Linked DNA regions of Callithrix jacchus. The protein of the gene in region 1 purifies or fractionates together with the protein of each later gene. This does not show direct contact. Links are inferred from orthologs where the notes say so. Each region holds a gene or a part of one and is shown in the gene's direction. Other genes may lie near its edges.

The links.
Region 2: the proteins of FXR1 (region 1) and CEP63 purify together in Homo sapiens (co-immunoprecipitation; 3 studies listed by BioGRID and IntAct, with this or other methods). This does not show direct contact. The link is inferred for Callithrix jacchus from reciprocal best matches to the Homo sapiens genes FXR1 and CEP63.

What each region holds. Positions count from the first base shown.
Region 1 is NC_133516.1:9,198,909-9,202,561, forward strand, and holds part of FXR1 (RNA-binding protein FXR1), read left to right. Parts: intron 1-2,001; coding exon 2,002-2,073; intron 2,074-2,488; coding exon 2,489-2,637; intron 2,638-2,872; coding exon 2,873-2,966; intron 2,967-3,420; coding exon 3,421-3,537; intron 3,538-3,653. UniProt on the Homo sapiens protein: mRNA-binding protein that acts as a regulator of mRNAs translation and/or stability, and which is required for various processes, such as neurogenesis, muscle development and spermatogenesis.
Region 2 is NC_133518.1:49,629,225-49,632,877, reverse strand, and holds part of CEP63 (centrosomal protein of 63 kDa), read left to right. Parts: intron 1-1,568; coding exon 1,569-1,802; intron 1,803-2,082; coding exon 2,083-2,222; intron 2,223-3,318; coding exon 3,319-3,456; intron 3,457-3,653. UniProt on the Homo sapiens protein: Required for normal spindle assembly.

The sequences.
Region 1 (3,653 bases):
TGGCCTCCTATAGTGCTGGGATTACAGGTGTGAGTCACCATGCCTGATCACAAACATCTTAAAAAGATGGAAGAATACTGTCATAAACCATTTTAGAAAACCAGAATGATCTGGGTTCTTGTTGGAGGATTTTGCATGATGAAGTCTCAGTTGAGTGATGAACTGGATGAGAATACACATCATCTTTGCCTCTTCTCCTTAGAAATACGTGGTTTGAGAACATTCGTCTAGGATGTCACCATCTGAAGACTTCATAGTCTGAGATTTTGCTTTGTAAGATAATTTCACATTTATCAGTGGAATCAAGTGTGCTGCTATCTTTTTGGATCTGTTGTCTGATATCTCTAATAATTAGAAAGGCATTCCTCTGTAAATTTTCTTCTTTTTGCAATTATGACTGAAAAATAAATTCATAATTCTCAACTGGTCAGCGGTAGCTACAAGCAGACTGCAAGGATGGCGTCCTCAGTCTTTTTTCACTTTTTTGAAAGAGATGTGATACCTCGGGCTATACAGTAAGGAAACTACGATGACACAGCGTTAACAATTTATTTCACTGTTGTGTCCTTCTAGGTGATGCCGTTACTCCTCTGTTCCATTTTAGTCTTTATTTAAAACATAGCTGAGAATAACTGATGAATGTTGATGAAATAGTAAAATGTTTCAAGATATAGGAAAAATAAGATCACTATATTCTACCTTACATTTATAGAAGGGCCCAGTGGATACATAAAATAATTGCAGAATAAGGGTGAGTTTTATTCTAGTCTTAAAAAAGTAAACTTTCTTATTGTTTTGTATATGTCTAAGGAAGAATAAAGTCATGAGATATTGATCCCTTTGAATAGTTAGATCTGTTTATAAAAGAAATGGAAAAGCTAAAATTGAGTTTAATGGATCCTGATTGGTATATTGGACTCCTGCTTTTCTCATAGCTTTTTTCTAATCACGGTGTACAGTAAAGTTTATTAGTAGGTTTTGGTTTATTCATTTCCAGTTCCATATTTCTACCACTTCTGAGATTACTCTCAAATCGTCCTGATAGAAGCTTCAGGCTTTCTAAAACTTTCTGTCTTTAGTTGGGTTTAACTAGAATCCCAAGTGAAAACTTCTGTGATCTATTATGTTAATAAAACTGATTTTATAAAGAATATAAGACTAATTATTTTGTGGATAGGAGTTTTTTTTTGTTGTTTTGGGTTTTTTTTTTTCTTTTTGAGATGGAGTTTCTCTCTAGTTGCCCAGGCTGGAGTGCAGTGGCCTGTCTCCTGAGTTCAAGTGATTGGCCTGCTGCCTCCTCCTGAGTAGCTGAGATTATAGACGCCTGCCACCATGCCTGGCTAATTTCTGTATTTTAATAGAGACAGGGTTTTACCATGTTGATCAGGCTGGTCTCGAGCTCCTGATCTCAGATGATCCACCCACCTTGGTCTCCCAGAGTTCTGGGATTACAGGCGTGAGCCACAGCGCCTGGCCTGAATAGGAGTTTTGTAAGATACTTAGTGTACTCTGCTAGATGGACTGAATGTGTGTAGTATTTTTGTTACTCAAACCATTTTAGTACATTTGCTTTAAGTTCTTTGGCAAGGGATCTAAGTGTCATGTCCTTGATGGAATTTAAACATTAGGTTAATCACTTTCTGAGAATAATATTTAATATTAACAATGTTGATAGAAACAGGAAGGCCTATGTTATACATTATTTAAAACTCCTTTTTAAGAGCATTTCTTTAAAATGCTTATGTTTAGTAAACCTCATGAATATGGAATTAATTTCCAAGAAGCTAAACTGCCCGAAAAAGTATAGTTTTATTTTTAAGTACTAAATTTAAGTGTAACTGTCACTTTTATTATATTTCATTTAATATACCAATTTAAATAAAATAGCATTTTTGATTCTTAAGTTTAATGGGACTGGACATTTATAAGAAGTCATTATTTACAGCATTGAAATCTTTTGGGATGAATGGATATAGGCATTTTTTTTTTTCTTCTCCTCAGGTATATTCAAGAGCAAATGACCAAGAGCCGTGTGGGTGGTGGTTGGCTAAAGTTCGGATGATGAAAGGAGAAGTAAGTAAGCTTAACACTTGCTTTGTGACTAGTTTCTAAGGAAACACCTCAGTGCTTGGTTTTTGTAAATGTTATTTCTACTGTCAGTATTATTTCTAAAAGCCTACCTGAGAAATAGTTGATCAAACATTTCGGAAGTTCATTAGCATTAATTTCTGTTTGTGTTCTGTATTGGCAAACACCAAAGCTGCACTCCAGAGGTACACCTCAAGCATGTAAGGATCACCAAGGTTCATGCTTGTAAGAACCTATCATCTACTTTAGGCAAATCAGATTGGTGCAGCTAAGCTGTGCTTAGTGTTTGTGCCACATGGGGGAGGATCCATTGGTTAAGCTGAGCAAGGTAATTAGAACTTCATTTAAATTTCATTATTTTGTTCATATGGGATTTTTAAAGTATTTTGATGTCTTTTAGTTTTATGTCATTGAATATGCTGCTTGTGATGCTACTTACAATGAAATAGTCACATTTGAACGACTTCGACCTGTCAATCAAAATAAAACGGTCAAAAAAAATACCTTCTTTAAATGCACAGTGGATGTTCCTGAGGATTTGAGAGAGGCGTGAGTAATTTTATTTACTATTGAATTGTTTTGTGAATTAAGAGGATTTTTCAGTGCTGCAAAACATTTTCCCAAACATCCAATCAAACATCCAGTCAAAACCTTTTGATGGAAAATCTTAATGAACAAAGGTTTTAATGGCGGATGTCAAAATGAAACACTGACTTTGTATTATAAGTCTCCTCTAAATTTAATCTGTTATTGAGGTCTTACACATGAATTAATTTTTCTCTAGGTGTGCTAATGAAAATGCACATAAAGATTTTAAGAAAGCAGTAGGAGCATGCAGAATTTTTTACCATCCAGAAACAACACAGCTGATGATACTGGTAAGATAACACCATGTTTTAAAGTAGCTTGTTAATGGATACTGCACAGATTTTATTATTAGATATTTCAAAAGAGAAAAGCCAAGGTCAGCTTAGTATATAGTGAATTATTTATTAAAACAGTGTGGGAGAAAAATTCATTTGCCGCTATAAAATGTTAATTATTTTTGATTTCTTCTGGAGTAAGGAGAAAAAAATCTTAACATGACATTCTTAACATAAAATTCTTAATCTGTGAGAACGTGGATTTTTTCCCAGCCAAACCTATTCTGAATAGCAGTTATAAATAATACAGGAATTCAGAAAGGAAAGTCTGATTACTCAGAGTACGGAATGTTAGTTGAAAGGAGAAGTGTAGTAGATGAGAAGCAAGGAACGCTTTGTATAGAAGATGGCATTTGTGCTATTTGGAAGAATGATTAAAGTTTTGAGTAATTAGCTTGTTTGTTTATAGTCTGCCAGCGAAGCAACTGTGAAGAGAGTAAATATCTTAAGTGACATGCATTTGCGAAGTATTCGTACGAAGTTGATGCTTATGTCCAGAAATGAAGAGGCCACTAAGCATTTAGAAGTAAGTGGGTTTACCTACAAAAGAATTCTGTGTGTCCTATTGAGTTTTTGTTTGTTTTTTGAGACAGATTCTGGCTCTGTCATCCAGAGTGCAGTGGCACGATCTTGGCTTACTGC
Region 2 (3,653 bases), on another chromosome or scaffold:
TGGGCAGTGGGTTTCTAGCTTTGTTCTGCTAGGGCTGCTGTACAGGTTAAGGGTTGAACTAAGGGACATTTCAGCAAGCTGGGCTCTAACTCTTTTCTCCTTCTCACCCTCACCCAATCTGCACATTTATTTATTCTGTACAGGATTCTATATAAGATTTCCTCTTGGAAAAAAGTTTATATTGTATTCGAAAGTTTGGAGACAGTTCCATGCTTAGCAATTGTTCTAGTGAATCTAAACCTAAATGTTGATGTTCTTTCTTCATACCATTGTGGGGATCTGGTAAAAAGAAAAATGGCTCTTGGCACTGAAATCTTGATTTGTAATTTATACAAAGAGTATTTGTCTGTCTCGTCACCTTTCTTCTACACTCTCTCTGGCTTATGGGAACTTTTTAGCATCTACTTTACTTGACTGCAATATATAGTATAGTATTTGGACCTGTATTATAAATTATAAAATCTTTAGATCTGCAACAGTTTCCCAGAGATATCTCTACTTGTATTTTAAAAATAAAACTGTGTGTTTTTCCCTTTAGAAATATTTAGAATAAGGGAAGTTTACCTCCACAGATGATTTATATTCATCTTAAGTTTGTAGATGAAGTACAAGGATGCTGGATTAAAACTTGTAAAAACTAGAAAGTTGGGAGCTGAAAACCAATATTGCTGAGATGCATAGCCTAAAACATAGTACTCAGTAGATATGTCATTGAGAGAAACCAATTTGAGATGCACTGTATTTACGTCTTTTAACTCAGGAAGTGTCCAAAAACTGATGACAGAACCAGTCTCTTCTGCCTTATAAGCCCCTTTTTCTCCAATAAACAAAAGTCCACAATTTCCCCATTTCTTTTAATTTAAAGAGCATTTTATGGTCACTTTGATTAATCTAAATATGAATGTTTGTAATGTTAAAACAGAATAATTACAACATGCTCTAAGTGGGGGGGGGCGGAATTTAAACTACATATTTAGTGATTTTAAAATTCTAATAACTGAACTTCCATCAGAAATAGAATAATGCCTTATAGCTCCTGTTTCCTATGTTTTAAATAGGAAATAACTCTAGACAGGTTGTGGTTGAATTTCTGTGTAAGTAGGTAGAATACTGTAGCATCTCTTCTGAGGAATCCCTTTACTTTATCCATTATTTTATTTCATTTATTTTTTTGAGACAGGGTCTCACTTTGTCACACAGGCTGGAGTGCAGTGGTGTGATCTTGGCTCACTGCAACTTCTGCTTCCTGGGTTTGAGTGATCCTCCTGTGTTGCCATGCTCGGGTAATTTTTGTATTTTTTTTTTTTAATAAAGACGGGGTTTCGCCATATTTCCAGGCTGGTCTCCAACTCCTGAGCTCAAGCGATTTGCCCTCCTCAGCCTCCCATAGTGTTAGGATTGCAGCCACCATGCCCAGCCTCTCAATTCTTTCTTACCCCTTCTCAGCATACGTATTTTATTGAGCCAGTGCGTTATGCTTTCATGGAAATAGTAGGTTCATTTTAGTCTTGCTTATTCATTCATTATCATTTCCCTTTTACCTATTGATTGATGGTTTGTGTTTCTAGGCTCAGCTTGCCAATCGGAAACAGAAATTAGAGTCTGTGGAACTTTCCAGCCAATCAGAAATTCAGCACTTAAGCAGTAAACTGGAGCGGGCCAATGATACTATCTGTGCCAATGAGTTGGAAATAGAGCGCCTCACCATGAGGGTCAATGACTTGGTTGGAACCAATATGACTGTTCTCCAGGAGCAGCAGCAAAAAGAAGAAAAATTGAGGGAATCTGAAAAACTATTAGAGGTGTATTTTAAAATCACTATAATTGGGGGAAGTGTGTGTATGAGTGTTTTAAGAGTGTTGTTCAGCTAGAACTAGGTTCTGCAATCTATACTTTCTTTCCTACTTTATAAGTGTTAATGTTGTAACTGTTACATAACTTAATAGTCTGACTTCCTGGCTTCCTCATGAAATAGAAAAATTGTAATAATATCTGGCTTAGCAATTTCTGAGTATTTTGCAGGTTATGCAGGAAGAAAACGGAATTGAAAGAACATTATAATCATATCTGACTTTTTTGCAGGCTCTGCAGGAAGAAAAGAGAGAATTGAGGGCAGCTCTTCAGTCTCAAGAAAATTTCATCCGTGAGGAAAGAATGCTAAAGGAGAAATTACAAGAAAAAATAAAGGCAGCTGACGCTCAACACGCTGCAGAAGCTCTAAGGTAAATTTAACCTTCAATATTACTCATCTTAGCCACTTAATGGCTAGGCATTAAGCACTAGGTTTATTTAATTTAATTTTAATTTTAATTTTATTTTATTTTGAGATAGAGTCTTCTTCTGTCACCCAGGCTGGAGTGCAGTGGTGCAATCCTGGCTCACTGCAGCCTCCACCTCCCAGATTCAAGTGATTCTCCTGCCTCAGCCTCCTGCGTAGCTGGGACTACAGGTGCACGCCACCACCCCTGGCTACTTTTTGTATTTTTAGAGATGGGGATTCACCATGTTGGCTAGGTTGGTCTTGAACTCCTGACCTCAGGTGATCCCTTCACCTCAGTCTCCCAAATGCTGGGATTACTGGCATGAGCTGCTGTGCCTGTCCAAGCACTAGTTTTAATATTGCATATTTATAATTTTATGTTTGATCATATCTGAGTTAGGTTTTTAAGGTGTTATAAAATTTTGTTTGGTTAGTTTTCTTCTGCCTCCAGTTTGGGTTCCTAACAGAGACTCAGACTCTCATGTTTAAAAAGTTAGAAACCTCTTGGTCAGTTTGCATGCTTGGTGAATCTCCAGATGTGAAGGGAATTGTCATTCATGTCTTCTGTGTCATTCCTGTCTCCTGGAGGCCTCACTTTCTTGGTGGAATAGGGAGTGATTAGTAGCTGCTTATCATTAGTAGCAGCCAGCCATTGGGCTAGCCTTCTTGCTTGATTAAAGTCTGTTGCACACTTTTATTTTTGCCAGAATTCTCCTGTAACTTTTCAATTTTTTTGGTACAGGGTTTCAAGTGTCAGTGAAGTGATTTTGCCATTTTGTCTTTTTCCCTTGAAAAATAGGCCAAATCTCAGTTAAGAAGGGAGTAAATTGCCGCTGACTTTTTAAAGAAGGAGCATCTCTGGACTCTTGCTTTCCTTTCCCAATATTGTTTTTATAAAGCAGGAGGCATTCCCAATATTGTTTTTATAAAGCAGGAACTCATTTATAAATGAGTTCCAAAGAGTTTACCAAAAATGATTGGAAAATACAAACTAGATGTGCATTGTTTTTTGTTGGCAGAGATAAAGGCCTTAACAATCATCCTATGTCTTTCCATAGGCCAGGGGAAGACTCTCCGGCAGAAAAGAAGTACACTTCTCAAGGGCAGGGGGACTTAGACAGCGTGCTGTCCCAGTTGAATTTTACCCATACTAGAGAGGAACTTCTGCAGGCAGAGGTTACTCGTCTTGAAAGCAGGTACGTGATTATACACACATTTCAAAAATTTTAAGTTATTAAAATGAATTTTTGATCATATTTATAAAGTAAATAAATATAATAGTTCTAGTGAAAAAAATAAGATTTTTTTTCTAGCATCCACAAATGGACTGTGTTCTTATTTATTTTTTTTGAGATGGAGTCTTGCTCTGTTGCCCAAGCTGGAGGGCAATGGC